Linked DNA regions of Drosophila melanogaster. The protein of the gene in region 1 interacts with the protein of each later gene in a pairwise test. Each region holds a gene or a part of one and is shown on either strand. Other genes may lie near its edges.

The links.
Region 2: the proteins of CG17712 (region 1) and CG5984 interact in a two-hybrid assay, tested with the Drosophila melanogaster proteins (one large-scale study listed by BioGRID).

The regions. Positions count from the first base shown.
Region 1 is NT_033779.5:1,743,401-1,759,982, forward strand, and holds CG17712 (uncharacterized protein), read right to left. Parts: upstream 8,723-16,582; 5' UTR 8,626-8,722; coding exon 7,471-8,625; 3' UTR 7,287-7,470; downstream 1-7,286. Other genes in the region: CG17646 (uncharacterized protein), read left to right, coding at 1-140, 234-379, 1,523-1,761, 1,821-1,961, 2,319-2,629, 4,292-4,460, 5,374-5,474, 6,118-6,276 and 1 more; CG17648 (uncharacterized protein), read left to right, coding at 8,983-9,369; Gr22f (gustatory receptor 22f), read right to left, coding at 11,853-12,005, 12,068-13,051; CG17650 (uncharacterized protein), read right to left, coding at 15,001-15,258, 15,533-15,652.
Region 2 is NT_033777.3:27,233,465-27,250,384, reverse strand, and holds CG5984 (uncharacterized protein), read left to right. Parts: upstream 1-2,392; 5' UTR 2,393-2,566; coding exon 2,567-2,711; intron 2,712-2,789; coding exon 2,790-3,164; intron 3,165-3,229; coding exon 3,230-3,525; 3' UTR 3,526-3,982; downstream 3,983-16,920. Other genes in the region: TTLL6B (tubulin tyrosine ligase-like 6B), read left to right, coding at 35-331, 389-542, 607-1,241, 1,303-1,843, 1,907-2,017; CG18766 (uncharacterized protein), read left to right, coding at 6,557-6,562, 6,622-6,938, 7,010-7,132, 7,195-7,675; CG17991 (uncharacterized protein), read right to left, coding at 8,169-9,053; PolA2 (DNA polymerase alpha subunit 2), read right to left, coding at 9,282-11,111; CG31068 (uncharacterized protein), read right to left, coding at 14,114-14,161, 14,219-14,325, 14,401-14,470, 14,524-14,888, 14,948-16,613; CG31064 (uncharacterized protein), read left to right, coding at 12,562-13,381, 16,704-16,920.

The DNA.
Region 1 (16,582 bases):
CCGAGAGGTTCCGCCAAATGCTGTGCTACATCCACCAGGACGATCTGCTGCGTCCACAGCTGTTGGTCGGCGAGATAATGCTGCTGGCGGCACATCTGAAGCTGGGCTTCAAGGTCACCAAGGCGTACAAGATGGATCTGGTAAGTAATCATCTCAGAAGTGTAAAAAGATTGTGAACATCTCAGGGCAACGATACGATATCTTATCCGAAATACTTCTGCACTCCTTCCCAGATCAAGCACATCTTATCGCTGCTGGGTCTGGACCATCGCTACAATGTGCCCACTGGGAAGCTTTCGGGTGGCCAGAAGAAGCGACTCGCAATCGCCCTGGAGCTGATAAGTAATCCTCCCGTGCTATATCTGGATGAGCCGACGACGTGAGTGACACTATATATTGTAAAAGCACACTTATGTATTTAGAGTAGCCATGATAGTGATCATCTCCAGCATTCTGATGCTCATGGCGATGATGAGCAAACTTTGCCTGGCGGAAGTTCAGCAAAAAAAAAAAAAACACCAACTGACCCACAAGTCAAGTTTGTCCCCATCTATATGTCTATATGACTTAGAGCTTATCAATTGTCCAGATAGTCTGTTTAATAGTTTCGACTTGTTTTGATTAGTGGTGTTCGGTGAGCTGTAAACAGTTTATTATTTAAATTTTTTTTATTGATTATTCATTTAATTACTGCGCTATCTGGCAGATAATCCCGTAATTAATTAAATTGTTCATTAGTTGTAGATTACTTTAATAGGGATTGATGAGTCTGCTGTGGTTATATGAACCTACAAAATCGGATTTATGCAGCAATAAAGGGCCAGCTATTTTGAGTCGTCTGGCTGGGGATTATGAGTATGAGTCCCTCCTTTTCATGTGGCATGACTAAGTATAAGTTGATTCAGACAACAATCTCAAAGTGAAAATCATGACTGGATACTTCGCAAACAAAGGGAGTTGCCAGTTCCAGAAATATCTCAAGCTTTATTTTTAAGACTTGCTTTAAAATCATATGCTTTTCTTCTTAGACCTCACTTTTCATCATTCATTGGCAATTAGTAAACTCGAAGTCGTGAGATTCATTTAAAGAAGGGTATTAGGCAAAGTGTATACTTGAATTTGATATATATGGATACGAGTAATTCAAATAATACGTATGTCTCGATTTCAGGCAGTTAATAACACTTGAAAGAACTCGTTTTTCAAAGTGTCAAATAAAATGCCGACTGCAAGTCGATCAAATCTTTGCAATGCCGCCCGACTTGCATCGGCAAATGGATTTTGGGAACAAACTTGTTTCTCGTTTTCATTTGACTTCGCTACAAGTACAAGTTCAAGCCGCAATCTCTCACCTACCATTAAAGTTTCAGTTGCCCTGTTGCTTGATGTTCTTTGCTGTCAGTTAGACAGCGGTTTAGTTTAATGGGGTTGTTATTCGTTAGATCTTCAAAGGTTAGGCAGCAATTAAACAAAGTTGAGTCACACCGAAAGTTGTATTTCTGCTCGTTTGTTCGGATTCCAGTGGCCTGGACAGCTCCTCGTGCAGCTCCTGCGTGGCTCTGCTGAAGAAACTGGCGTCGCAGGGCCACACGATAGTCTGCACCATCCATCAGCCAAGTGCCCTCATCTTCGAGATGTTCGACAAGCTCTACACCGTCGTCGATGGCCACTGCATGTACCAAGGACCTGTGCGCGAACTGGTGCCCTTCCTGGCCGACCAGCAGCTCGTCTGCCCGAGTTACCACAACCCAGCTGACTATCGTAAGTGCACCACTTTCATGCCACATGCCACATTACATATCATATCGTATGGATTTCAGTACTGGAAGTGGCCGTGGGCGAGCATCAACGTGACCTGAATGAGCTAATCCATGCGGCCAATAAAAAGTATTACGAGGATGTGGATCGCCATAGGTATATGAGCAGTGATGATATGGCACGCCTCGTGGAAAGCATTAAAGGTGAGTTCTATACTGATCAGATCTGTTGTCATGTTTCGGGTATTAAATTATTCTAAATATAAAAGTTTGAATGAAGTTTTATGCGAATATTGTTACGGTCCAGTGATAACGATCTTTATTTGTCCACGTTTTAAAGTTGAGTCGTTAAAGTAGAGGAGGTGTGCTACTAGTTTCGGTGTTATAAATGCGTTAGCTATTAAATCTGTCAAGCAATTTCGAACATACATGTATACACATGTATACAAGCAAAGCTTTTTTTTTTTTTTTTAAGGAAAACTGCCAATTATTGGCGCATGGTGCAGAAATTTCCCCCACTAGAGCTGCCACTTACTAACTTGAACTTTCTCCAAATTGCAGAAAACATGGGCGGCAAGGCAGTGGTAAAAACCAGTGAAGCGCTGGCAGCATTTGCGGCGGCGCAATTCTCCAGCTTCGACTATGTAAAGCCCTCGCCGCAGGAGCTGGCTCTGGAGGAGATCAAGGCACTGAGCGGCGGCCCCGAGAGCGCGGATCCCGATCTCCTCGAGAAAAATCTGAGGCCACAGCCACAGCCGCTTGCCAAAGCCGGTGAGCTTGCCAGGCCGCCGAATGCCATTCGATCGGCCTCGTTCCTCATGCAGTATGTGCTCCTGATGCAGCGCATCTTGATTTGCGCCAAGCGAAACTACGTGAGTAGAAACCTCCATATCACGAACTAAATTCAACCAGCAAAGTTCAAGGCTTGAATTATGGCAAATATATTTGTTATATATATTTGCCAGCTTTTTAAAAATCTTAAGTTTAGCTTTTTAAGACTCGACTGCAATAACTTTAATGCACAAAGTAACTTGGGTAACAATTAGTTGAAAGCCGGTTTAGGGCAGCGGCTTTAAGAGTTGATGGCCTGTCGAGTTGATTTGGTAATTGGTGCGGCGTCCTCGAAAAGTGAATCCAGTTTCGGCTAATCTCGTTTCTGCGTAATTCTTAATGGCTAATCTTTTAAATAGCCGCTTTTTACTTTATTTTTATATTTCCCTCGGCAATTACAGCCCAGTTGCACATTACCATTTAGTGGCCGTACATTAAGTACTATACGTTATACGTTTTTTTTTTTGGGAAGGTTGAACACTTCGCCACGCTTTCGGATTTTGCTAAAAAATCATACGAAAATGGGACTTATGCATGCTCTTAATGGTGATATAAGATCATGCATGCGGAATATAATAGGGCACTAGCTGAATTTTTTTATACATTATGCTTAAGCATATAATCAGGGCATTAAGCTACTTTTTAATAGAGCGACTTGTGGTGGGCTCATAAGTAAGTAATTCATGCACACAACTCAATTGTGCAATTGAATTTCTCATAGCTATGTAACATATATTCTACACTTAACAACGATTTTCAGTTCGTTGGCACTGGGCACTACGTAAAAACAAATGACTCAGGGCAAAAGGCTCAAGCACTTACCATAAAAAAGAGATAAATACAATAAATATGAAGCTGCGGAATCAGAAATGCCATCGAGATTGATGGCCGGCGTTTATCATCCGAATGTGTCCAATTAGCACTTGGCGTATGTTTGAATGTGAAATTGAACAGCTTGTGTGATGACCACTTAGCGAGCTAACTCACTTTTATGTGACTGCACACGATCAATCTGCGATGGATCTGCATACACACTGCACTCGGCCACTCAAATAGTGGAGTGTGAACATAGCTTCGTTAGCACCTCCAGTTCCGCTGATATTGACTTGTCAACCGGCCAAGCGGCCAAGCGGCCAAACGGTGACTCCGAGAATCTCGGGCCCACTCGAGCGGCTCGTAACTCAAAAGTAATGCCAGCCAGCACTCAGCCTTCACATAGATTTCGGCTTTAGACGGTTCTAATGACCAACATCCACGGCACGATCATTTACTGGCTATTAGTTGCCAAAAGGTACAACTGCGGTCAATGCCATTAAATTGGGGAGTCTTGTCTTATTACCAGCTACCTGAAAAAAAAAAAACGTTTTTTTAAGTTATGGTATACGCAATATGTCATAGTTTAGACCCACTTTCCCGCCAGATAGTTAAAAGCTTAGTGCTGTTATAGACATGACATATGAGAAAACTGCCCATAAATGTGTCACTTCGAGTGAAGAAACCAGCTGTGAACAAAAAAACTAACAACAAACTAGCAATGAGCATATTTGCAAGGACATTAAAGAGTTCTTTGCATTCGCATGAGAAAGTTAAGCAAAGTGTGCTAACGTAAAGTATCTCAATTTCCAGTTTGCCTGAGTTGCTTGATTTGCATCTTTATCAACCTGTGTGCCACATACATACCTAATACTCCGTATCTCTTTCAGTTTCTGCTGCTGGCCCGCATCTTCTCGCACATTTTCATCGGAGTCGTCTTCGGGTATCTGTACATGAACGTGGGCAACAATGCCCAGAGTGTGCTGGGAAACTACGTGTATCTGTACGGCTCCACGCTGCTCTTGGTCTACACCGGTAAAATGGCTGTGGTCTTGACATGTAAGTAGCTGCAATCGCCGAGATAATCGCCTCACTTCACCTTGCCCACATCTAACCACCACCCAAATGCATTTGTCCAAGTGGTTCTCGAGTGCTATCGAGTGGACTTGGCCTCTCCCAGTTTCCAGTCACTGGTTTCCTCGGATAGCCAATTTATGCAAAAATTTGTCGCCAGATTTGACCAAAAGAAAAAAACTGCAGCTGTTCTTGCGCAATTTTGGCAACTTTGCTTTGTCTTTAGCTGCCGCATTCTATGATATTTTGTCAAGATACTTATTTATCGCGGAATGCGGATTAGCCAATAATATATTGGCATTTGCACAGAAGTTTCGTGGTTCTTAATTGGCAAAAAAAAAGAACCAAGATTCTGAGCTTAGATAGTGGATCATTAGCCAAAGAATAAGAATCTAGTATAGCCACAAATAATAAATTATCAGCGTTCCAAATACGCCATAGTAAACTTGATTAAAATATATTGATTGGAACATTAACCCTCGAGGCGAGGCCAGATCTGATTAGCGATAAAAGATCTCTGTCGATCCACTTTGTCATCTATAATTTCCATGTAAATTGCCAAAAGTGCACTTCTCGCCCCGAAAAATGCGATCCTGAAGCCCGCTAAGTAAATAATTATAAAATACAAGAGACACCAGCTGCGATTATTGTATAATAAAACCGGTTGGCCAGCGATTCTCGACTCTTTTTACAATAAATTGCTGCAGACAGGAGGCATTGGAGGAGCTGGTGGAGCTGGGGGAGCTGGGTATCCGATCTTTACCGGTTTCGGTTTACTGACCTGACCTACATATGTATAATGCCCTCACCTTCGTGCGCACACTTCGCATCGCATCGCATCACATTGAACCTAACGAATTTAATCGCAATCTCGTTTATCAATTAATTTTGTCCGCAGTTCCGCTGGAAATTGACATGTTGACACGGGAGCACTTCAACCGCTGGTACAAACTGGGTCCCTACTTCCTCTCGTTGATCTCCTTCGAAATACCCTTCCAGGTGAGCACCGCCATAGAATAGCTCCTACTACAGATCGCCACGGCGATCAGAACCCAACCCCAACGGTGTCGGTGGTGGTCATTAATCATCATTTAGAGCTAAGCTTCCATAGGTGGCAGTGGTCTAATGAATTGCCGCTCGGTCATTAAGTCAAATTAACGATGTGAAATCGGCGATGTTCGAGTTTGCGTTTCATTTGCGTGACAGAATCGCGTAAGCCCGACTACCTGTAATTTTGCAGTGATTGTTCCGATATGCCGGGCTATATATACTTATATATATATATATATATAAGTGTGTTGGCCATGTAGTGAAATTGGCAATGAAAGAAACGCTTTTGTTTGCCGTACTGTTTCACGATTCGAAAGGCAAACATTTTTGGTAATTAGGGGCAACATTCTCGTGGCTGCTTTTTCATTTCATTGTGCCAGTCACACAAGTTCTACATATAGAGTTATACTGGTTTTATCTAATCTAGCTACTATTAATCACTTATCACGGCCCATATCAATGCAATGAATTATAATATTATCATAAATGTTAAATGACACACAAATCAATATTAATATCAAATGCAAATCAGCCAATTAATAATCTCTTCCTTTGCGAACGGCTTACTAATATTTGAGTTTCCCCATTTCAGAGCCTCTGCACCGCCATGTACATTATCATCAGCGTGCATCTGACTGGAAACGATGCCACGGACTCATTCCGGATCTACTACTTCATGCTGCTGGGCATAATGGCCTCTTTGAGTGCCCAAGCCTGGGGCTTCTTCGTGGGAGCCACGTTGCCAACCAAGGTGGGTTCAACACTCGACCAGCTAACTGAGAATCGAATTGGTAATAACTAATCTTTCCGCCTCAGCTTGCCGTGTTTCTGGGACCCATTCTGGCGGTGATGTTCTCCGTTTTTGGATTCTGCACGCGCTACATCGACATCACGCCCCTCTTCCGATGGATGTGGCACCTGAGTTACTTCCGGGCCGGATTCCACGGGGCGTTGAACGCCATTTACGGCATGGATCGACCCTTTCTGGAGTGCCCCGAGACTGCGATGTATTGCCACTTCCGCAGCCCGAAGGTCTTTCTCAAGTACATGATGATATCGGATGTGCACATGTCCGACTGCCTGATCCTCATGGGCATCGTGATTGGAGTCATGCATGTGCTGACCCTCATCACGCTGTGGCACAAGCTCAACAAGCGATAAGATACCATGGCCAATGTTTGGTCCATGGCTGCAATCCTTTTGTACATAGTCGGGTGTCTTTCCATCTCTCCTCGTTTTAAGTTCCAAATTCGAAACTACCCTTTTTGTGTTTTTACAATTGATCGACCGATTCGATGTTAGCTTAGGTATTTATTTAAATATTCTCTGAAATATTGTACGCAAGAAGGCTTTAGGGTAGCTTAAATCCAGTTTAAGTGCTGATATACCAAAAAGGAAGATCAACTGCAACACAATCTCTATAACCCCGTTTCCATCTTGCCCTGTAAACACAATACTTCATCCACTGAGCTGGATCTCCGCGAAGACTCCAGCTATGCCAAGTCTTGAATATTCATCTACTTCTATAAGGTCCGCTACAAAGATACTTTTGTGATCAATAATTTGTTTCGTCTCTTTAGTGATTAGCTTTAGTTTTAGCCCTAAGTTCGAATTACTTGTATATGACATATTTCGTTTAGTTTGTGTAGACAATTTTGTTTTTAAAATAAAACGTTTGGTACATTTGATGACTTCTTCTCGTTCCTTGCTATTAACTATCATGAAATGTTTTCTAGCTAATATAAATATAAAGTCTCATGTCTAACAAATCAATTTTATTAGTTGCAAAATGCTGATGCCGTACAAATAAGTTAAATACATTGATGAAGATGACGCCGGCTGGAAAGCCTGAATCTTTTGAACGCTTAAAGACTAAACACGTACATTATATAAAAAATATATAGTGGAATCATTCATATATTGCACCTATGTAATACAGACTCCCTCACATTGTGGACATGCGTGCATATCGAATTATCTGGTCGTGATTCAGGGGGCTGTCGGTGGACAGCTGAACCCTTTGCCACTGCCTGGTCTCGTTCGATTTCCGGATGGCCTCAACCACAGCCTGAACGTAGAGGCCGTCCTCAAAGGTGGCCGCTGTGGAAACTGGAGCCTTAACCCAGGAGGACTCCTTGCTGCCGAAGGCTTCCTTCAGAGCGCCCACCATCTTGCAGAGTCCTTTGATATATGGTCGTGGTAGCAAAGAGTTGTTGGTGGCGAAGTGCAAATCCTGGACATCCACGTAAACAGCTTCCTCTTTGGGTTGGCCCTCCTTGAGGACAAATAGGTCGCCGCCGCGGACCACCAGGTGTCCTTTGCTGCCATAGATGAGCACTTCCTGCGAGAAGGCTTTTGCTGGCACAGTGTGACTGTGCAGGGCCACTGTGACCAGCGTTCCACTGGCCAGTTCCATTTGGAAGTTGCAGAAATCCGGAGCCGTAATTTGTCGAATGCCATTGATGGCCGGTGTGGTTTTCGTGTAGGATCGTAGGACTCCATGCACTCTTATTGCCTGCTGTTGCAGCAGAAAGGTGACCAAGTCCACCACGGATCCCACGAGATTCAGGGCACCGCCGCCCATTTGCGCATCGCACATCCAGTTGTACTTCTCGGGAAAGAGCGTTCCCATCTGGACGCGCACATCCATGAGTACCACGTCGCCAATAGAGCCAATTAGCTCCTCCTGCAGACAACGACGCATATGTGTAAAGGCGGGCAGGAACCTCAGCGGGTGATTGACCAGGGAAATCAGAGTGGGATAGTACTGAGAAGCCCGAACCATTTTGAGTGCGTCCTGCTGGTGCAATCCTGCTGGCTTGTCGCACACCACATGCTTCCCGATGCCCAAGGCCTTCACCGAGATCTCCGCGTGCAGAAAGGGCTGGCACACGATGAACACCAGATCCACATCCTTCCGCAGCAGGACATCGTCGATTACGTTCGTATGGAATTGTACATTCTGCGTGGTCGCAGTCTCTTTCGCCTCTTTCAGGGTCCTGCCCCAAATGGCCCGCACCTCGAATCCTTTCTCCCGCAGCAGCGGCACCAGCACATTGGCTATCTCTCCCGTTCCGAACACTCCAACGCCCGGCAGCATCGCTCAAATTGGATAAAACTCTATAAAGTTAAGGGAAAATTCCAATGTTTATTTTTTGGTGGCCGACCAGGGCTGCCACATCGCTTAAACTGCGGGCGTGAACAGCTGTGGCTATCGCAGCGATATATCGATATGTGTCTGTCAGCTATTTTCTAGCTAAATCTATTTAAAATATTTAAAGCTTTTAAAAATAATATTAAACAAAAGAGTTTGTAAGCCAAATCAGTGGTGGCTATTGAGTTAATTACTAATTTATGTAGCCTTGAAATATTTAAACTCAATTCATAGCAATCGTAACGAACTTTCAAAGCATGATCTAAATTCGCTTTCGAATCATTTAAAAATATCAAATTTCAAATGATTTCGATTGCTCAGTTGCTGACCTCTTTTACGGCCGGAGCCTTGGCCTCTGCACAGGCGATTCGTTTTCTAAAAACTGCCAACGAGGAGGAGTCGCCGGCCAAAATTTCAAGCCAGCTGGAAACTGCGGTCATCGATGGACTGGCCACCGAGCAACCGAAGATCCTGGGCTCCGAACAGATCAGCAATGTCATGCAGCACATTCTGAGCAGCGAGCGCAATGCGAGTGGCGTCTACTTGGACGCCATGCACAACCGAAGTGCCAATAAGCAGGAGTACGCTCTGGGCTCCGAGTCGCTCAACCAAATGCTGGAGGACATCATGACCCCCGCCGGGAGTGTGAGCAGCAGGTCCTTGTCCATGGAACCCGCCGTCGAAGCCTAGAAGTTTCTAAAACTATTTTTAAAAAATACTTTCTTTTTTCTCTGCTTAGAATCAAATGAACCTGTGAGATTAGGCCAACAAAGTCTATAATGCTTATCTTCTTATCCGTGCCAATCTCAGTTTAAAGACCTCCTTGCTGTCCACTCAATTAACTAAGCCAGAGTCCTTTGGCTTCCATTTCGAGTGCGGTCTCCAACTCCCCATATCCTTTGCCCGTTGCCCCGTTTTCCCCCTTTTCCACCATATACCACCACATGTGGCCCGCTTTTCGACCCTTTGAGCCATGTGCGGTATTGCAGCTGTCAAAGCAGCCGGCATGCGGAAAATGATTCTGCAGCTTATTACAAGCTGGCAACTGCGAGTGCAAACGGCGGTGGAGTGAAGGACTTACTGACGACTGGGCTTATGATGCACTGAGCACAATTAGGGGTTCAGACTTCCGAACAACTATCAATATTACGGGATTAGAGACTCCAGTTTGGCTTTACTTTTGGAAGGTAGCCCTTCTGAAGAATTTGCGTACTGAGTGAGCTTTTTCTCTCAGTGTACACCACACATTCGTGTGGGGGGCTGTGTTTGTGCGGGCGAAGGATGTGGACGGGCGGACATAATGCAAGCATTGGCAAGCCATGGCAAACAAATGTCACAGTCGACGCATTGCCCTGTCATATGGTAACCCAATTAGTGTAATTTGGTTTAAGGCAGCTGCCGTCTGTCTGCCCCACCCACATCCATGTACACCACATGCCATATACCATATACGCTCGATCCCGTCTTAATTAAACCACAAAGTGCACAGCGGCAGCGGGCAAACAATTAAATTTAAAGCAAACCCAGCGGCTCCGGCAAACAGCTAATGAATGCTGCTGCTTTCGACCTCGGGGCACCAGATATTGCCACAAGTTATGGCGCCATCAAAGGTGCAATGGAAGTGGGTGACCCCTAAAGGGAAACCCCCACCCAAGGCGGTGGACTAGCTCTTCAGATAGCTCTTGAGTCGGAAGGGGCAGGTGTTAAAGGTAGTTGTTATTCATCACCTGTTAATCGTAAAATAACATCGCACACCAATTGGATCTGTCGAATAACTCCAATTAAATATCCACTATGCTGTGCCACATAACAGCTTAATGGCTTTAAGTAGCAGCCGCAAACTAGCTTTCTCTAAACCAATTAAAATTTATCAGAGCCATCTTGGGAATGCTCCAAGGCCGGACAGACACAGCTTCTAATTGAATTCTGAATGTTAATGGCAATATTGATTACACTTGCTGATCCGGGCTTAGTTTATCCAGACTTTGTCAGACCGCAGGACTCCTGGGGCGCGGGGCATGTGGCATGTGGCATGGGGCGGTAACCTTTCCGCAGACCAGACATTAATCACATTTAAGCCAGATTAATACTAAATGCAGGGGCAGGACGAGACCGAAATGCCTGCATTCGGAGGCAGGACAACTGAGCATTTAATAAGCCAAACAAGCGGCCGACGACGCAGCTCTACGTGACCTCATCTTGAGGTCTGCAAGCCGGCGGAAACTGAGTCTGCGACTGAGACTGGGACTAGGATTGCGTTGGGATTGGTACTGGAACTGGGACTGGGACTGGGACTCGAATGAATCAGACCGCACATAGATCTCTGTCAGAGGTATTAGCATTAGCGGCGAAACAGGACGAGCGCAGGGCAGCCAAAGATAGTTCATCAAAACTGACAAGTCCATTTCGCTGTTGGGAGTCACAGAGCGTCCTCTTGCTTAGCTATGATACTACACTTGGAGAAAATTCCGAAAGTATAAGAGCAAATAATGCGTACTAGATAGAAATCATGGTATAGACACAATATAGGATGATAATTTAATAATTATTTACAAGAGCTTCTTCTTCTCTTTATTAGTTTACTTTTTTCCGTGTTGCGATAAGCTGGAAGGCAGGACACCATCCCAACTGCAGGGAAGGCTCCGCATCACCAGGCAGCTCCTCCTGCTCCGGCGCGCCCCACTTCAGCTGGAGAACCGCAGCCAACAGATGAGAAATATTCATCAGCATTTACGTCACGCAGCGCGCAAAAGTCGCTGGGAAAGCGGCGGCGGAGAAATAGGGAAGCGGAGAAATGGCGAAAGGAGGACAGGACGAAGAGGACGAAGAGGACCTGGCACTGGATGTCAGTAGATTTATGTTGACATTTCAATGACAGTTGTGAAAATGCTTCCATTTTATGTGTGTGTTTGGCTGTGGCTGTGCCCCGTCCGTCGCCTCTTTCATCTTAAATTTGCGCAAATTGCTTTATCGCAGCATCTTAAATTATTTCCAATCACGTATCACTCACGAATCGGGGAAAGTATATGTCGCGGATGTCACGCTCCTGGCAGGAAAATAATAATGACACACACTACCCTCGAATTTAAGGGGGAATTGTTCGGCAATAGTTTAAGAATAGACTTTTAGCGTATCCTAAAGATTTTATTTGTTGCTGTAATGAGAACTGTTTTTTACAAGTTCATGAAGTCAAACTGAAGCAGGTAAACCAGGTATAGAAAACTGGTGATGATCATTTGAAAGCCCATGTTGTGGTTAATGGAAAAGAGACCACACAGCTGAAACCGAAACTTGCGGTGGGTGCACAGCCATGCGAATTCATTCAACTGTCGGAAAAAGGATATATAAAGTACTCATTTGAACTCGAATTCCAACAGTATATACTCACACTTCTCTCTAACTCTTCATCGTCGTGCTCCAGATCAGTGAACAGTTTCAGGACCTTTGATGTTTGGTCTCCACACTTTCCGGCAAGATCACACACCACGATATTCAGCCAGAAGTCCCAGAAATTGATGATCAATTGTGGGGAAGCCACTAAGTAAATATACCGCTTATTCATGCTTACTCCGAGCACAATGAGGAAAAAGATTTGCACAGTGTTTCCGATTAAATAAATAATTAGCATAAGGATCAGTTGCAAATCGTTGCACGCTACCACCAATTCACTCAGCTTCAGCAGGCGATCGTACAAGGATGCTAGTGCGTGAATTCTTGAGGAGCTTAGATGGTGTGAATCTTCGAGGGTTTCATTGACCAGCCACACATAGCGGTAGACCAAAATGATTTCGGTATGAAAGTGCATTATAATCAGCTGCAAGCCCACCGATGGCAGGCAGCAAAGGATCTTAAGGATCTTCGGGTACGAATTTTCTTGGCATAGGCAGAAGTAAATTGAAATCACGAACTGACCTATTGCAGCCACATGTTTTTTAATCACGAAACAGTTAAAGTTGGGACAGTTCTTCAGAGTGAGAAGGTCTTTTACCTGGCCCTCAAGGGTGAGTAGTTCATTGGCAATTTTCCGAACCGTGTTGCTTTTCCAAACATTCATGAGCAGTAGTACGCTTATAGTGAAGAATGTAGTAACCTGAAATTGCATATATATTTTCTCCAACAGCGGATTGCGCTCAAATGCATTATATTTCCTTCGCTGCTTGGATGCCAAGTGGCTACTCATGGCTAGGCACATGGCCAGAGAATGCAGAACGAAACCGTAGAGGAGAAGCCATCGGGAGCGTTTCAACTGCTTTCTCCGGGAATCGAAAGTGAAGGGGAACAGTCCCAGTAGCCAGGATGCGTAGAGGGTCGTCTGCAGCATGAACCATGCCAAATGGCAACTGAAGCCGCGACGAGGTTGGAACATTTTCATCTAAAGCCCTGGGTAAAACTAATGTCAACAAGGGAAAGGCACTGAACTTAATCCATCTTTCACATGCAATTAGTGTAATTAAAATTATCCTTGCCTATCTCCATTAAACTAAGTGACCCGACCCAAAAACGCATATTTTAAATTGACACATTTCATAAGATCCAACTAGCTAAGGATTTCCCTCCTCGTCCCGCCGCTGGAAATCTAAAAACAAATTGTTTGCGTGCCAGCCATCAATTTTTATTAACTTGATTAAGTGCTTTATGACAGGCATCGGGGATTTCTGGTTCTGGAGCAACAAGTTATTAGCCATGGAATGGAAATGCCGAGGGTCTCTAAGCCAACCCAGCTATATATAGATATATATGCACATAGCACATAACGAAGGATCTCCTGTGACAGCACAGCTGGCGAAGTCGCCTCTTCTCCAGCTGGTGTCAAGGAATAATATTTGCATTGTTGTAGCTGAAAAGGGGCTGACTTAAGTGGGCCTGGGGCGGATTGAGGATTGGGGTTAGAAGGCTTCAAGGAGTGGGTGGTTGGTGGGTTGGTTGGTTGGTTGGTCGAGGTCCTCGAAGCTCAGCATTTCAATAAGCTGAAGCTCAGCCTCGGATGATGACGGGGGATGGGGGTCACAGGCTGCTCTGCCGACGGGGGAATTTCATTAAGCAAATAACAGGAAGTTATGAAGACGTTACCTTCGTAGTTAACTGCAAGGAAATTTCTGCATGGCCTCCGAGCTGAACCTTCCTAAAATCTGACCTTATAATTTTGTGTGGTAAAATAAATGATGCCCAATCCAACCGAAGATAAGTCAGTGCAGCAGCTTGATTGAAGTTTGAAGTAATCATCTTTCCAGAAGATAACTTCCTCAAATACTTAAGAGTAAGAAGGGAGTGTACTACAAAATGAAGTGCTTTCTGCTGGCAACTGGAAAATTCCATTTGCCCAGGCCAACAAACATATCAAAACAAGAAATTTTGCAGTCGAATGAATGCCGGATTGTCTGAGGGAATTCCATTAGCAAGAATCTCGTCCTGCATATGCACTGCACTGCATGTGGTGCCCCACCCAAGTGGTCCACAAAAACACGCATTTGCATACACATTTGTATAAATAAAGCCGAGCACAAAGCTGGTCACTTGCCCTAATTGAGCCTGAAGGTGGGATTGGGTCGCCTTTTGTGGAGCTGAGTGAGGAGTCAGGAGGCGATGAACTAATTGCAACATATGTATGCGAGTCGAAGCACACTCGCAGTTAATATTTATACTCATAGCACCTTAAAAATATAATAAATGGTACAGTAGAAGTGCTATTACAGATTCCACTATATATCAGAATGTACTAACATATGTTCGACCATTTCCCAACCGCAGTTACTATTATTTGCACCGCGAGTGTAAGCGTGCTTATGTGCGCACAAATACTCAATCTCAGACAGAGCAGTCATATAAAATGCAATTCACAAATGAAGATTCATGTCATTTTCCTCCGCTCTCGACGTCTGCAGGACATAAATCAATGCATCCTGACACAAACTGGACGTCCTGACTTTCGACTGCGGAAACGCACTTCGCCCGCTTTTCCAACATTTTCCATAAGGCAATTTGGCAAGCTCGTTAAATGATTTCAACAGGCTCGCCTGGCAAACTGTGAGTTTTGCATTTAAAGTGCCCCATTGCCATTCGTTTCACATTGCCATTGCCATCAAATGTGTCACATGAGCAAATTGTGTGTGCACAAGTTAAAACTCACTTAATTATCCGAATGACGCTGCGCAAATTGCAATTAAGCCTCGCACACTCACCTGTTAACAATTAACAACGCTAGTTTTGGTAACAACTTACATGGTAATCAGGGCTTTACCAATACATTTTATTTAATATTTTTTGTGAGAAATCTCTGAAGGAAAACCCAAAAGCAACTTCTATCTCTAACTAGAATTGCTTTTACTCTTGCGCTAGTTTTTCTATTAGTTCCGAGTGCCAAAGGTTTTCGAGTCGCTTTTGGTGATTTCGCTGAATGCTCGCGATTATCTCGCGGTTCCCGGAAGCCAGACGCAGTTGCTCGTGAATGGAAATATTTGGCAGTGGTTGGTTGAGGTCGGGAAAGTCCTCGAAGTCCATGTCATCTCCCAAAGATGCTCCGAATATCTTATTGTAGTTCGATGAGTTTAGTATGGGACGCTTGGCTTCGAATTGTTGTTCCTTTTGTTTGTAGGATGATACATATAGAGTACACATAAAAACTTGAATGTTATTTAATTACCAGGATATAAATATTCATAGCTGCGCAGTTACTTATTATTATTTGTCAGAAAAAAAACACGTTTTGAATAAGAGCGCATAATCATGGTAATAACATACACATACTAATTACAATAAATCAGCATAAGTGCTTTTTTGGTTAGCAAAAGTTGATTGAAACATGTGCTATGCACTTAATTATGGCTTGGTAATTTATTCGGAAAACTTCACTCACCTGATTTTTCCTTGTGCTGCAGTTGAAAAATATATTATCAAGATCCCTCCTGCGCCTATTGAAATCCTCCTCGCTCTCCATGGGATAGTCATTATAAACGATACCTACCAAATCACTCATTTTGCTACGACCTGACTCTTTTCACCAATTTTCCAGCATGTTAAACTATCGATGATAAAATCAAGGGCCTGCTGAGAGGCTTCGATTAACCAGGGCTACCAGCTCATTCGTGCAAAATGCATGTCCATCAATCCAAAACAAATTAGCACTGCCCACTCATCCCAAATTCAGCTAAAAGCCTTTTCACCTGACGAAATCCTCGGACCGAGGCACTCGATTATTTACGTACTAAATGCAGATAAAGTTCCGTTTTAAAGGCTTCTATGCGGGAATCCGGACTGCGGACTACGGACTACGGACTACAGACTACGGACTGCGAACCTTTCTATGCACTTTGCTGGCGGACCGAAAAATAAAATTTATTTACAGTTTCCCTTGCCGGAGGATGTCGAAAAACGGAAGCTAGTGGGCGGGGATTTTGCAGTGGGGGCGCGTTTGGGAAAACTCAGTCACGTTTTGTGCAAAATGGAAATGGTTTGGAATTTACGGCCAAATACTCGGCCAGCAAGTACTATAAAAAATGCGAAGGGCGGCAACCCTAATCGTCGTGAGGGACTGCTCTTTTTTGCCATTTTGCCATTTTCGGGTAGGCCTAATGAAATTTTCGCTTTATGGCAAGTGCAGTCGGGTGAATTGCAGCTGAAAGCCTTTCCTGTCAGCCGGGGAATGTTGTTTCGAAATCACATTTTTTTCGGGTCCTTTAATTTGAGTGCTGCACGGAGTGGTACGTACTCCCCCCCCCCCCCCCCACCAAACTTCCACACCCAACAACAACATAAATAAACAATGGCTGTAAACCAGCTGATATGCGAGCCGTTTTTACAGGCTGACCAAGTTGGTTGATGTTTTTTTCTTATTTTATTTTGCACCTCCTTGGCATTTTATTGCCGCCCTGCCTGGTTTTCCTGCCATTTCCGGTGCGTAAGTTTA
Region 2 (16,920 bases), on another chromosome or scaffold:
CTTATTGGATAACGCATCTAACATAATCCCCCAGCGAAACCAAGAGTACCATCTGCGTGTCCAACTCGCGCTACGCCATGATTGGGAAGATCTCCAAGACGCTGGGCTACAAGTTGGTTAAGGAGTCCAAGATGTGGAACATCCTCTGGTCGGATTCGTTTCCCGGCGTAGAGCTGTTCAAGAACATGAAGCGCTTCCAGCAGATCAATCACTTTCCGGGCATGATCGAGATCTGTCGCAAGGATCTGCTCTCGCGGAATCTAAATCGAATGCTAAAGATCTTTCCACAGGACTACAAGATCTTTCCCAAGACCTGGATGCTGCCGGCGGAGTAAGTAAACCCCAGCCTCACACTGAAAGTGCTAATCATTGATACCAACGATTTCAGCTATGGAGATGCCATGAACTACGCGCTCAACCACAAACGCACGTTCATCCTGAAACCGGATTCTGGTGCCCAGGGTCGTGGCATCTGGCTGACAAACGACCTGAAGACCATAGGTCCACATGAGCGCCTCATCTGCCAGACGTACATACACAGGGTAATGTATCCGCTGTTCATCCGGAATCCCATACGCTGGCTAACCATCGCATCCACTTTTCCAGCCCCTGCTCATCGATGGGTACAAGTTCGATCTGCGTGTGTACACCTTGATTACCTCCGTGGATCCCCTGCGCATCTTCGTGTACAACGAGGGATTGGCCAGATTTGCTACGAACAAGTACGTGGAGCCCACGCCCGGAAACGCCAACGATCTGTACATGCACCTGACCAACTACTCGGTGAACAAGCGGAACTCGCACTACGAACTCTGCGACAACGATGACTGCGGCAGTAAGAGGAAGCTGAGCGCAATCAACAACTGGATGCGGCGACACAACTACGATGTGGAGGAGTTCTGGAGCAATGTGGACGACGTGATCATCAAGACGGTGCTGAGTGCGTGGCCAGTGTTGAAGCACAACTACCATGCCTGCTTTCCGGGTCACGACAAGATCCAGGCCTGTTTCGAGATCCTCGGCTTCGACATCCTGGTGGACTGGAAGCTAAAGCCGTACATCCTCGAGGTGAACCACTCGCCCAGCTTCCATACCAACGAGCAGGTGGACAGGGAGGTAAAGCGGCCGCTGATCCGGGACACCTTGAACTTGGTCAGCACGGTGCTGGCGGACAAGAGGCAGATTCTCAAGGAGGATCGCAAGCGGGTCAAGCAGCGGCTGCTCAAGATCAGGGGAGACCCGTAAGTGTCTCATCATCATGTCAGCATCATCATCATTGGTAACCCACATATATATTTCCAGACCCGTACAACGTCCGCGTCTTGGTGGCGGCACCTCCAAGCCCAAAATCGATGCCCAGAAGGGCAGTCCGGATGCCCAACCCGTTGATGTTGAACCCGAAGCTGAGGACCATGGTCCACTGGCCCAGCAAATCGCCTGGGAGGAGAGTCATTTGGGCAATTTCAGGAAGATAATGCCGCCACCAGACTTGAGCAAGCTGGACTACTACACTCGCTTCTATGCCCAGTCGCACCAGGTGTCCATCTTTGCGGAGACGGCGGCCAGTAAAAAGCGAGAGGATCTCGCGCGCAAGATGCGCATCCAGCTCGAGGAGAAGAAGGCCAAGCAGCAGCAGATGCTGAACGGGAAGGCCAAGCGGGATGCTAGGAAACGACACACCGTATTGCTGCCGCGGGCTGTGCGCGAGAAGAACCGTATTAACTTCTTCCGGCTGAGGGAGAACTGGTCGCCGGGCTTCATATCGGACGCGGAGGAGCGACTGCGCCACACCTGGCTGCACATGCGGGCGGAGGCGATACGAACGCTCAAGATCACCGAGAATGTAAGTCGGTTCACTTCCAAAAAAAAAGATACATTTATATTTAAAGGAGATATTCGTCCACAGATCTACAGCAATCTCTACGAAACTGGACTCCTGACCAACACGGACATGGTCGTCTATCCGCATCTCTATCACAACTTGCAGCACGGCTACGACATCAAACGTACTCCATAGTCAGTCATTTCGCCCAACTCCAGCCACACAGACTACTTACACACATCCACGATGTGTTATTCAAATTCGTTATTTAAATTTAAATTGCTGCTCGTCACAAAAAATGTAATAAAATTCTTTCGAATCTTTAAAATAAATATTTGTTTAAATATTCAGCGATTAACACATTTTATGGAATTTTTAGTTGGTATACCTTTAATTTAAGATTCACATTAAAATTTACTCGATTCATAACAATTTGGATACTCTCCTGCTTGGATTGGAATCGCATCTGGCGGACTTGCATCTATATCGTGTATATTTGGCTGGCTGCCCGGCACACAAGCATCGTAAACATTTGCCCCAATCGGATGGCGAGAGCTCCGCCATCGCGGAGATCGAGAATCTGGCATTCCGAGAGCAGTTCGCCGATTCCATTGAGATGGAGAGCAGCGAGTTCAGTCGGTCGAAGGAGCACGCCCCGGGCAGTCGCCAATTAAATTGGGGGAAACTATTTGGAATCTTTTAAAAAAATCGATTGATATTCGAATTGGAGAAAATATCAGCGGCATGTTCAAAGTGTCACAGGAGATGCGTCTGAACACGCAGGCCGCCTCCTCCGCCTCCGCCTGCAGTTCGAGTGGGAGTGGCCTGGAGGGCAATAGTCCGGAGGAGGGCGGTATTTTTGGACGCTACCAGCGAACGCCCGATGCGGGTGAGTAGCGTCGATGAGGAAGTAAACATCGAACCGGCTATTTATACACTACGAATCTCGCGCCCCCCAACTCTTTAGATGCCTATCCCTCGGAATCGCCGCGCGTCTATGTGGCACCCGAGCTGACCGACGCCGGCAAGGTGCAGCTGCTCCACTTTCCCAGCGGCGCGGTGCGAGTGAACAGCCCGCTGGGATTCATCATCAAGCGGAACGGGGTCAAGGGAAACTTCGAGGTGCGCGTCGAAGGTCCCAGTGGTCAGCCCATTCAGCCCGTTCGGCAACAGCAGTTGGATCCGGAGCGCTTTCAGATCGATTGCCAGCTGGACGCCGGAGCGGGTCTCTACAAGGTGCACATCAAGTGCAATTCCGTGACCCTGCCTCGCTCTCCTTTCATCATCGTGGCCATCGCAGGAGCTACCGAGTCCATCGATGGCAAGCCCGCCAGTTCTTCAGGTAGGATATGTCAAAAAAAAGTGCACGAAAGCTGTGATAATCAATTGGCATCTTGTGTGCTTTAGTGCCCATCTCGGACTCGGATGCCAGCCGAGTACAGAGCCGTGGCCTGGGCCTCACCCATGTCAGCTTGGTGGAGCGCAACGAGTTCACCGTGGACTGCGGCCAGGCGGGTAGCAACATGCTCCTGGTGGGCGTACTGGGGCAACGCGGTCCCTGCGAGGAGGTGGTGGTCAGGCACCTGGGACGCGGCATACACAGGGTCACCTACCGCGTGTGCGATCCCGGTGACTACATCCTGGTGGTCAAGTGGGGGGAGCAGCATGTACCCGGATCCCCGTTCAGCTTAAGTGCGGATTAGCCGTAGAAAGTAAATGTGCCTGCATAAATCAGCTGACCTTGATGGGGCGCTACTGCCACCCATCTGCCTCACTTCTCAATGGAATCCTGCGCAGCTTCTCCGGGCGATTTCGCCCCACCTAATGATGATTGCCGATGATAGCGTTATGGGTGCTCCTTGCTGCTCTTTTCCCGCCACTAATGACGTTCGCATTTGGGAGCTGATGCTCTCGGCGCCTCACAACCTAATGATGATGACCGGCGAATATGGAGAATGTGGGTAAGCTGAGTATGAGGGGGCAAATATGTAGTAGTAATGCGTACACTTGAGGTTAGTGCAATAGTCACAAGTTTGGAAAATAGTGAAATATACTTAAGTAAAAGTAATAATACATTTTAAACACTAGCATGCATTTACCATTAAAAATATATTTTAGCTAATGATTCATTAAAATAAATTCACTAAAATAACAGTTATATAAGAGAGGTGCCATCTTAAAATTATATTAAAAATGTTGCACAATAAATTAAGATAAGTATTGTACTATACATATAATAGTTTAATATGATTTGATTTTAAGGGTAACTATTAAGCTGACCATTATTGTTTATAGAAATGATAAAAGGTGGGGGCTGCACGATGATGTTGTAGCTATTAAAATGTCAAGTTCTTGAAGATGATGACATATTCATTTTGTATTCCTAAACAATCTGTACTTAGTAACAAAAGAAAAAGATACATATTTGCAATATAGAAATTTGTAAACACTGAAGAACATAATTGTTTATAATAATATATTTAGGGAGAATGAAAATAGATTGATATTCAACTAAAACCTATTTGAAAGTAAAAATATGTGTCAATAACTAGAAATTTACGTAATATATTTTTCAAAATACAAATAAACAACATTAGTTTGTATGTCTATTATTAATTATCTCAAAGTTTACTATTTATATAGTTGGCTAGGTTCGTAGATTTTTGAATATTTGGTGACCTTGTTATTGGGATTTCGCTTCCCCCAATTTCTTCTTCCTCTGCCTTGCCCCACCCCCATCGCCTATCGCCCCGCCCCGCCAGCACTTTTTCATCGAGACGATGTGCAATTTAATGATGATTACCCCACAAGCAAAGCCAACTGACGACGACTTTGTGGCAGCAGCGACATTATCATTTTTTGTTATTTAGCCCGCTAATGACGTTTGCTTTTGTTGTTGTTGTTGTTGCTCCATCGCACAACCTAATGATGATGATGATGACCGGCACATACGTGTCGGTGTGACTGTGCCAGTGTGTGTGTGCATTATGCTCCAAGAAAAGCGATTTGTTGAAGGGAGGCGGGAGTAGGTGGTGGTGATGATGATGATGAGCGATGAAATGCGCTTGCTTTGTTGCGCCCTAACGAGCCGAGATTGAAGTAAAAGTACTGTATTGAGCACGATAAATGGCAGATGACTTGGTTCTATTGGCCTAAAGCCGCAATAAACATTTTCAATTTCCCACCTTTTGGCGCTGTTCGAAACCCCAACGCACTGCACTGGCGACTGTCTGGCAACGCCATGTCACACTAGCCGCACCGCTCACACCATGTTGCTCTTGCCATGCCATGCTGTCTCGCTCACGCCGAGAACATCATTATAGAGTCGAATTGCGAGAGCTGCGCAGCGTAGGAGCTACAAACTACGTTTTTCGTGTGTTTCCCTCTTGAAGATAATTAAAATTTAATTATTTGACTTATTATTAAGTTTTGTGCCCACGCTGTTGGCGTCGTAGTGTTGTTGTTTCGCCCGTTGTTGCATGGAGCAAAGCGAAAAACGTAACAATAGAACGCAATCAACGCAAGAAAATCGGATGTGGATGCGATGTGAGTGTGTGTATCTCTGAAATGGGAAAAGTGTGTGCGTGTGTGTATTCGAGAAAAGTAACCTCTCACCCCCCGCGAACTTACATATATGTACATTGGCTCCAATGCTGCTATCCCGCAGCCGCCGTCGCCGTCGACGTCGGCGGAGCATCTTCATCCGCATCTGAGCCCAACTCCCTTCTACACTTGAGTTACCGCTTCACTTCGATTCCAAACGTCGCCGCATCCACTTCTCATCTTCTGCTGCTGCCGCAGCTGCTGCATGCATATCGCAACTTGTTTCGCTCGCACAATTAATATTTGTTTACCGTTTACCGTTCGATTTGCATTGCATGCGTGTGTGTTTGTGCGGGAGCGGCTGAGCTGCGTCGGTGTGTGTGAGCCGGCTTAATGATAATTGAAAGCTAGAAAATAGACAAAGTACACCGACTAGTAAATACCCTTTAGTGCCAGAAAATGGGTTGTTAGCCAATGGGATTACGGTACAAACAACACGGAAGCGACAATAACCCATTTTAAAATCATTGGATGCCAAATTTAAAACAGTTCCTATAACATTTTGTTTCCTGTGATAAGAATTGTTAAAAATACTTGCGTTTTAAAAGTTTAAGCTGAAATTAATTAGTGAATATAAATAGAACTTCAAATTGTGCATAATTATATCGTATAGTAATTAATACCCATGACAACTAGGGAATGAGTCCTTCTAGGAGCTTAAAAATACATAAATATTTCTATGAATCCAAACTCTGCTGCAATATAATAGAATTTTATGTGTATTACAACATTATACCCTTTAATTGCCGCGAGAACTAAGTTAACTATGAAATGCAATCATTCGTAACCCTTTTTGTGGGAAGGTATTAGGCTACAAAAGATTAATTACCATTTCAATTCAATTAAATAGTCATCAAATAGGTGGCTGACCATATGTTCGGTTGTTTATTTACGTGTGGTGTGCACTTTTTAAGAAATCCCTGAAACTCATAGGGATTGCAATATTAATACGTCTAACAATACAAATAGTAAACAACGACACCTGCACGTTAACTAATCATTTGATTTATTTCAGGAGCGAATCCGTGTACAGTATGCCAGCCCACTAGATAAACCGCTTCATGTCCTCCATCAGCTGGCAGACGAAGATTGTCGGGCAATCCCATTTGTCGGCAGTAAGACCCATGTGAAATGCCTGTAAGTTGTCTTTGGAATCAGTAGCTTTATCATCAATATAATCGTATACCTATTCGCAGTATGAAAAATTCAACAAAAAGCGCCGACAATGGGAGGATAGTGGTGTTCTAGAGCTGATCAAACTATGGAAAGTCTGCGCCTATGAGCTGCGCACCATTAAACGCAATGGCCATCTGTATGTGGCAATGGCCAAGCAGCTAACCTCGCTGGGCGTCCCTGTTACCGCACTCGAGGTTCACTTTAAAGTCAACAATCTAACGCAGCGCTACCGGCAGGAGCAGAAGACCTTTGAGACCACAGGCATCATCAGCACCTGGAAGTTCTACAGTCAAGTGGATGATGTGTTTAAGAGTCTGGCCGCACACACCGGTTACAAGTTGGTTGAGATATGATAGATACTTCCCATATAGCAATCCCAAACTAACAAAATATCTTATTATTTTCCAGAGACAAACGCATGACAAGTGCGTCCAATACGAGCAGCTTACCATCCACATCCGAGTCACCAGTTTGGAAGAATCCAATGTCTCAGCAAGAGTTTAATAGTAACAACACGGAGGGGTTCTATAAGTAAGCACTAGCATTGGAACACCTTCCTCACAACATGTTTAAATAACAATTGGGATTTGCAGGACCGAGTACGGGATGCATCGGCACTTTATGGACCACTCCCAGCCACCACCCAATGCCGGCAGCGTGGACAACTTCATGGCCTCATCGGCGGCCGTGGCGGCGGTGGCTGCCGCTGCCTCAGCCCGCCTGGCGGATAACAACATGGATCAGCAAATGAACACGGCTGCCGGTGGAAGCGGTGGCAGTGGTGGTGGTGGGGGCAACACCAATGGAGGCGTGGCCAACTACCAGAAGATCAAGAAGTCGCACGAGGACTACGACAAGTTCGTGGACATTGTGAAGAACATCGTGGACACGCACAAGAGCACTCCCGATAAGGTGGACACGTTCGGCGACTTCATCAAATCGTACATGAAGCGCTGGCCGGAGCGGCTGCAGGACGAGGCCATCAACCACATCACCAACTATGTGATCGTGAAGAACATGGAGCACAGCATGGTCAGCAGCCACAATCCCGAGGGGGTGAACAACCGACAATAACAATACAAGCAGGAGCCCAACAACTGAACGAGTTGTTGGACGACGCAGCTCCAGGAACCAGGCACAGAAGCCGAACGAAGTGAGACGTTAGGCGAGGATTACTTAAGGTGGCGCGCAGTTACTTAACCGCATCTGAGTTGCGGCCAAGTTCATTGGACACACACACGGCATACAGTATTTTTTGTATAGTTAAAATATACATTGGAGTTTTAGTTCTCGACGATCGCGCCCTCGATACAGAGTTGACTTCCGTAAAGAGGGGGCTGGATCGATCAATCGTGCATAGAGATCCTAGGGAGTACATTACATTTAGACACCATTTCCTACTGTTAGCTGTAAACTATTATGCATAAATTAATAAATGCTTTAACGATTATTTATGATTGGTAGTAAGAATGCACTATTGACACGTAGTCTTAGGAAAATTGTACACTTTACAATTTAAATAGATATTCAAATTACTTCTTGCTTCTCTTGCAGATCTTGAGTTTACCTAGTGTCCGTCTGCCTCCGCTAGGTTTTCCTTCGTGTAATCCAAAACACGACGCTTCATACGACAGATGTATTGGCTATGCATGAGGTACATTTTGAGGAATCCCTTGATCGCTATGAAAGTCAATCCCCCAAGAAGAGTTTGTTGCAATCTATCGTCGACAGAGCTGTAAAGAACTCTACCCACGTACATGGATATGGTGGGCAAGAGGATGGCTCCACAGACCACCCGCGATGCTGAATATTCGGTCATTGGCGCAGAAGGGTATGGTTCGGTCTGGTGGTCATATTTCCGTCCTAGGCACATCATTGAAAGACTTCGCAGCAATGAATAACATATTCTAATGAAGCGCAACAGGGCATCTTCCCAGGGAATTAAGCGTCCAAGTATCAGAACTACCGAGATTAATGGGAATCCGACCAGAACAACCAACAGGTCTCCCGATTGAATTATTTGATGAACGTGACCTTCCTGACCAGTGATCTGCAAATATGTTTTTGCTCCGAATGAAACCGCTGACCAATAGGCAAAGACCACCGTGAAGACATTGGCCAGGCAATTATATAAGTTTGTTAGGATAAGATCGTTGGTCAGCTCCAAAGCCCTATCGAAAATCCAGAGATTCGGGTATGCAATGGTGTACTCCGTTTGGCATTGTGGACAGGAAACGGCTTGCAGATTGTTGTTTATTCGGGTCTTCTCGTCGATCCAGAGGGAAATGCAGCTCTGGTGCACCCACTTATTGGTTCCTCGGCAGAGACATGGATTCACCCAAGCCTGGCGACCTGCCTCCTTATCGGTCTCAAAACAGATCCAGCAACAGCGCTCCAGTTCCGTCGAATCTCCTCCAGCTGAAGCTTGTGGCGCAGCAACGTTGCTAGCCATTATTGATCTTGTTGTATATAAAACTTGAGTCTGAGAAAACTCCAGGGCATATGTTTACAAATAATACAATACCTACTTTGGCCCAAAATAACTAATGCTAGTTGTTTGTTGTTGAATGTATTTTGTGAAAAGTTATGACAAAGTAGTGTGTTCATTATATTAACTAATAATATTGTACTGATCTATTTCCCACTATCCTTTCCTTATCATCATCACAAAGTGGTCAGGTTAGATGCGTTGGACTTGACACGCCACACTGTTGAACATGTTGGCCGCCTTTCCCGGCACCGAAGGCGCCACCAGGAATCGGGCGAAAGTTCCACCCTTCTTGTCCGCGACACGGCCGGGATTGATCACCAGGCAGTCGTTGACCAAGCGGATGAAATGCCGCTGATCGCTGGGCAAGATGAGCACATTTGGTAGCTGTTTGAGCTGTGCATATTTCAACGCCAGCTGGGAATCGTAGGCCATGTCTTCGTCCGCCGGCGGATACAAAGGATAGAAGGAGCCCTGGTGGAACAAGTGGTTGATGGCCCTGTGCATCCGCTCGCCGGCATTCACAGCAAACTCGTGACTCAACAGGTGGTCCACCACGTCGGTTGAGGTAACGCCCAGCGTAAAGCCATCCAAGTCCACCAGAGATGGATCGGGCAGCATGTATAGATTTGGATAGGTTCTGCGCAGAGCGGGCGGCGGCGTTGGATATACGGAAAGAGCCATGGCATCCTTCTGACTGGTCACCACCAGCACTGCTGTGTGACTACCAATCGACTCCATTATTCCCCCAATCATCTTCTCGAAGAATGTATCGAAGGTCTCGGCCAGTTCGCCGACCATCTTGTGATCGGCATCCAGGAATGGTCCCGTGAGCACCAGCACGTCAGGTCTGTGATCCTTGAGGTACTTGAGCAGGTCGTGCAGCGGTTCGTAGAAGAGATCCGTACTGTCCGTAAAGGGTCCGGAGGCCACCACAAACTGAAGCTCCCTGTCTATTTGCAGTGGCGTTGCTGGCGTCAGTTTGCGCTCTGTGTGTATCTCCTCTACCATGAAGGTTTTGCCCCTGGGTATGAACCCTTTGGCGAGCACCACTTGACCTGGGAATATGCTGGCAGACTTGACCCTGGAGAAGTTGAGCGTGAGCGTTGGGTCCATTTCATCTTCTACATCGTCATCTAAAACGGCCATAAATGCGGAGTGGGCGTCCAGTGGGCCATCGTCCTCGGAATGAATCATTCCCACCGCGTGGAGTCCACCTGCGGACTGCAATACCTGCCTATCCTGCGGATACCAAATGCACTCGGCTGCGCCTGCTTGTCCAAGTTTCTTGTCCACTAGTGCCGGACCGGTTTGGTTGAAGCGGACGCGCAGGTTGTGACATCGGTCGGTCAGCAGGTCGTTCATGTAGCCCAAATTTGCGATGGTCAGCGGGGCGTCGTTGTGCAGCAGTTTTTGAGTCACCGGAACCGTGTGCTCCATTTGTGACTGCCAGCTGGAGCCAGCCAGGAGTTTGGGATGTCCGAAGGTGTCAACTATATCGCCCGGCTTGCCGGCCACTGAGTTGGATGGTGTTTCTAAACCTGCTTTCCTCTTTGCCGATTGGGGTGTATAGCTGGCGGGGCTAAAGAGTGCGGCGCCCTTGAGATTGGCGGTCCGATCCGACTGCTTCTTGGCCTTGGGCGTGTGCAGAGCGGAGGAGTCCACTGCCGATTCGCTGACATAGTCATCCAGCATGGGATCGTCCTCCATGACGCCATAGGTGGCCAGTGAGCTCGTATCCTGTACAGAGGGCGAACCATATGATTTCGCCTTCTGGCCAGTTGCCTTGTATCCCGCCTTGTCCTTCCGCAGCTGCAACACCTTGCGCTCAAAGTCGCCCAGATTCTCGATCGCAGGATCCTCGCCTTGGAGGTGCGACAAACTGAAGGCCATCCACTGCTCCACGAACTCGGTGGCGTCGTGGATGTTGTAGGTAATGGCCAGCTCCGCACACCTGCCCAGAACTGCGTCCGCTGGCTCCACGCCCATCTCGTCGAACTGCTGCTTCAATTCCTCCTCCATTCGTTGTCCTTTCGTTGGGCGTTTAATTTTCGTAAATAAACCTAGCAATTTATTTTGGCGGTAAAAGTGGGCACAGTGTTGCCACCCTATGATGCTTTTAACACCTGCTTGAGTTTTCTTATCGATAAGCATAGTCAGTTCAATAACATAACAGCTCCCATCGAGCTGCGATAACCGTGATCTGTAACCAGTGATTGTTATCGCCCATCCCCAATCGCAGTGCAACAGCTGTTTTAATTTTGTATTGACAAACTTTTTTGTTTACCCGCGTTCAAGCGCAAAACAAGCGAAATTAGCGGCTGTAATCGCGTCATTTTGATTCATGTGACTCCGCACAGTGTCCTGATAATCGCCGCGAAGCAAGTGATTCGCCATGAGCACGGACGATCTGCTGGTGCGCCGCGAAAGGAGTGAAGACTCCCAATCCTCGAGTGTCTCCATTCCGGTTACGCCCACCACCGGAGGTGCCGCGCCTGCGCCCAGCGCCCCCACGTCATCGCTGGACCGCCTGCGGAACACCTTCCGGCGCACGGAGAGCATCTCCTCGCAGATCTTCAGCCACATATCCACACAGTTCTCGAATGCGGCCGCAGCAGCCGCCTCTTCCGAGGTAATCGATGGCACCACCACGTACCCGTATCCCGACGAGCCCGCACCACCTGTTGTACCTGTTGCGCCGGACACGGTGGCGAGCGCCAGTGCTTCATCCCCGTCGCCATCGAAACTGAAAGCAAAGCGACTGAAACGCGGTGAGTCCGAATTATTATTCATTCGATGATAAGCAGCAATGGAAACCAAATTTCCATTGTGCGCTAATAATAATATGTTAAGTAATAATGTTGCATATATAAAATATATTATATATAATATATATAAATATATACACATATATATTTAATATAACAATTTAGGTACTCAAAACTATTCTAAAATGTATTTATTAATTAGTATTAGCAATTTCGTGGGCTGTGCGAAACTGTCGTTGAAATATTTCGGTACTTGTATAAATAATATGATTAAAAATAACTTAAAAGTGCATTGGGAAAGTGTCAAAGGTGATTTGCGCACCACACACAGCGTGACCATCGAGAACACCCCCAACGAAAGCTCGCGAGGAGCTTGCGAGCTTGGCGCACTGGACAAATCAATAGGATAAAGAACTTTTTGCCAGTCTTACTCAACGCGTACACAACAGGATAACGGTGCAAAATCAAAGCGGCGAGAACTTTCGGTTATTTTGTTAATTTCAGAAGTAAAACCCTCTGGAAAAGAGGTTTACAAAAGGAAAAAACCCCTCTAAGGTAATGAAAAAACAGTTGAGGGAAAGCGGCAGCAAAGGAAACTCGGAACTTATTGAACAGCTAATATCGATATATGTATATATCTGTATTTTTATGGACGCCCACGCACACACACACACTACTCAGGCGTACTTTGAAGCAGCAGCGAAATGCGTGGACTTGTCGAGGATACAAAAAGGACCAAGTTGTCGTCGGCGAACAACAACAACCTCAGCAGCACCAGCGGCAGCGGTCGCATCAAGTCGAGCAGCCTTGCAACAGGATCAAGTGCCAGCGGCAGCAGCTCGAAGCCCTTGAGAAGTGCAGTGAAAACGCCAACATCGGGCAGCGCGACGTCATTGTCGTCAGGAACAATGGCTGCCAAGAAGGCGCCTCAAACGGGGCAACAACAAGTAGGCAAGTCTGCAAAGTCCGCCACGGCAGCAACTCCAACTGGCACAACAGCAACAGCAATTGGAGCAACGGCAACAACAAGGGCGCAAGCAGCAGCGGCGAAGAGCCAAAAGGGTCAGAATCCACCCTCACAACAAGTGCAGCCGAAACAGCAGCCGCCACAACCGCAACAGACACAGCAGCAACCCCTGGTGTTGCAGCAACAACAGGCGAGCAACAGCAGCAATACGATTGCCTTGCCAAAGGCATCGCATGCCAACACCAGCGAGGAGCTAGCCGGCGGTGTCCAGGACACCATTTACCTGTGCAATTTCCGGGTATCCGTCGATGGCGAGTGGCTGTGCCTCAAGGAGCTGCAGGACATTGATGTGGCCGGCGGAACGGGCAACCAGGCAGCTCAGACCAGTGAGAAACTGGCAGGCGGCAGTAGTTCCCAAACGGGCGGCTTCGGGTCCAACTACAATGTGGGCTCCAGCTCCAGCAAGCGCAACAGCAAACGCTTCTCCGGACTGTCCACCGGCAGTGGAAGTGGCGGCAACGCCGGTGGAGGAGGCGGCTTGGACATCACCGACAATGGTATTATGGCAATTGAAAACCTTATCGGCCGCCGGCTGTGCGACATGGTCAATAGTGGCTCCTCGGCACTCGGCCAGTCCCAGTCGCACTCCCAGTCGCAGCACCAGAGTGTTGGCCTCTTCGCCGAGTGGTCGCATCTCTGTAGGTCGCTTCTTGTTGCCTCTGTTGCCAAGCACGCTCCTACTTTGTAGTTTCTCTTCATTTCTCGTTAGATTGCAAGGGCCATACAAATCCGAAGAACTCGAAGAGTCAAGTCATCATATTCTATAGGCTTCAGACTTTTCTACGTTATTAGTTTTCTTAAAATATTGTTTTTTATTAACATTTTTATCTTTCTTCGTAAGATATTGGCATTTGTTTATTGTGTAGACATTAGCTTTTATAGAAGACGACAGATTCTTATCAAGCACGAAAGTCTTTAAAATGTGTGAATGGCTAGATCTATGTTCTCGATTTTATTGGCCCTTGTAATCTTCCATCTTGTTGCATGCCTCTTTGCATTGTTGCACATTTAGTTGCTTGCTCTTAGTTAAAAGTTAAGTGATTTACCTAGGAAATACCCTAAGGATTAGGATTTCAATTAGGCAGTTAAAACTCCCATTTTAAAACTTCATTTTCCTTTCAATGGAGAAATGGAAAAGTTAAAAATCATAGGGTTTATTAACTTATCAAAAAATATACACTTAAGAAATAGGAAGGTTAAAAAACGAAAAAGGGTTAAAAAATTGCCAACTAGTTATCGTCAAAAGTCGTTTCCCAGCTGGGAGAGTCCTTTAAATACTGAAAAACCGTCAAGATCATTATTTTGGCATATAACATTTTGCACATCCCACTCACCTCTGCACCGCCCTTCTGTCGACCGGCAGGGACATCTGGTTTCTCCTGCGACTTCTTCCTGTGCAGAAGAGGATCATCGGATGTATCCTTGTACATTTCCGGTGTTGCTTTTAAGATGGCAGCATCAGAGGATTAAGTGAATGAATCGATTAGGCTTAAGAAATGACCAGTCATGCACTTACCTATCCTCACTTGTTTGGACAATCGCCTTTCTGGTGATGGCTGCTTTTTGTCTTCTGAGGATTTGGTCTGCTGGTGACTCTGAGTTCAGGATATCAAAAGCACGCGAAGCACTGATAACTTACCTCTTTCTTACGACCCGTCTCAAAGTCCTTATGCTTCTTCCGCCTGTCTTCTTCGCGGGCATGCCTATGTCGATGTCTATCCTCTCTGCTGTCCACTTCGCTGTCCGACGAGGGAATGACGGATAGGGTCGACTTTAGAGCGGGCTTACAAACGTCCCTGTAGGGAACTCGGCTAGGAGACGAATCATCGGAAAGAAGTTTGAGGGATGTGACCTGCTTTCCCACCGCATCTCGGCTCTTGTCCGGTGCGTAGTAGTCCCCTCCTTTCGCTCGGGAGAACTTCAGTGGCATGCACTTCCTGTTGAACTGACATCCCAGCGACGAAGATGAGGTGAAGGAATCTAGCTCGGGATTATTCGCATATCCTATAAACTCGAGCAGTTAGATTTAGTTGATTTAGTTGCCACAAACTTATTTGACTTACGATTGCTCGGCACCGATCTTTGTGAGGTGGAGCGACCAGAACCGGAGTAGTAGTACCGCCGAGTAGCATCACTTTCGTCCTTTTCATCTTTTTTTTCTTTTTCCTTCTCTGGTTCTTTGGCTTTCAGCGGCTCCTTTTCTTTTCTTGGCCTCTCTTTCGGCGGAGGAGCCTCTGCATCCGTTGGGGCAACCCTCTTCTTCCTGCCCCTTCGCATGCAACAGCAAATGATGAGCAGAATGAGGAGCAGAAGCAGGGTCAGAAAGGCGGCAATGCACCAGATCAGTGTCTCATCGTTGTCGCACTCGCGGCACTCTTCCACTTCCTCCGGCCGACTCTGAACCTTATCCAATCCGGTAAGCCATTCGTCCTGGTGCATTGGCTCCGGCCCCGACTCCTCGACTGGCCCTGAAGCCTCCTGCCAGTGAATAGCGGAGCGACTCATCTTGCGGGAGTCCTCTTTGGGACAGGATGGTGATCCCTGCCCGTCATTCTTATTGGTTGGCGCCCGGGCCTCCTCCTCCGCATTCTTCGCTTCTTTCGACAGCCTCTCCTGAATCTGCAGAATACCGCCCAGACCCGGGTAGAATACATCATCGCCATAGTGCATTTCCAGATTTTCCTTTATCCAGGCGAGCAACTGGCGATTGTAATTAGCCTGGCTAATGCCCTGAAACCGATGACAGTTGGTTAGGGTTTGGAAGAACTTCACCACGACAAATTCCGATTTGGGAGAACGCAGATTGTAGATGCGTCGCTTTCGAAAGGGCAAGTATATGTTGCCCATATAGCCATTCTCATCGAGCGTCTCCAGTCGAGGCAGGCTCACAATCATGCTCCCTTGATCCGGCTCTTGGGAAATGCATGTTTGATCCAGTTGAGCACAGCTGGAGGCATCCTCCTGGGAATAGCAGCTCTTGGGCAGCTTGACGGGTTCGATCTTTCGTACCTTGAACTGCGACAATATATCCTTGTCCGGAGCTCGCCACCCATTTCCGTTCGTATTGAGCGTCGTTTTGCACTGCTGATAAATGTTCACCAAGCGCTCCACGGTGTTCAGCTTGATGCGTCCGGCATAGAAGGATAACTGGGCCATGGGCACCAGATAGTAGCGCAGATAGCCACCCAGGGCATCGTAGAATGCTCTCTGCATGATGAGCCGCGTATCATCGTCTGACATTCGCTTCACGATCTGGTTAACAGTATTAAAGTACCGGAGAAGCATGTAGACAAGGCTGTCGGTGAGAAGGGATTGTGGAAAGGATTTCGGCACCAGCAGCTCGAAGTCTTTGCGTGCAGATATGATAGCAATGTCCTCCGTGGAAAAGCAATTCTTGCGGTAGTTGCCAAACAGATTGGTGCCCAGGAATGAGTCCGATTCTGTGGTACTCCTTGTCGCCTTTTGCAGCTCGTTGGGCAGATCCTTAAACCATTCATGCTCTTGGTATCTGCGCGGCGGGGAATAGGGAGGATTGGTCACCTGTTCATCGACCGTCTCGATCAGGCCATTGCGGTAATCCCGCAGCTCCGAGCTGAGCATGGATTGCAGGGTCAGTTCGTTTTGGAAATCGTTTGTGGGCACCTCCAAAGTAGCCAGGTCGATGCTGTATATGGGACAACCCCCGGGTGCCAGAAAGAAAAGCAGCCAGGAGAGCACATGAAGTTTCATTACTCAGTTAATCAGTTGTCAGTTGTTTTGAAGCAAATTTCTGCGCCGGCCGAGTCTTTAATCTGGGAACCACCGTTCCTCCATTTGCAGCCCGGGACACGGCGGAAATTGAGCGCAGTAATCTGGTGAATATCTGCAAGCTGGTGGTCAAGGAGCTGTTGGAGCAGTCGCTGCGTTATGGTCGCATGCTGGACTCGGATCACCTGCCGTTGCAGCATTTCTTCATCGTCATCGAGCATGTCCTGGGGCATGGATTGCGCCCGAAGAAGGGTCTGCTGGGACCGAGGAAGGAATTGTGGGATCTGCT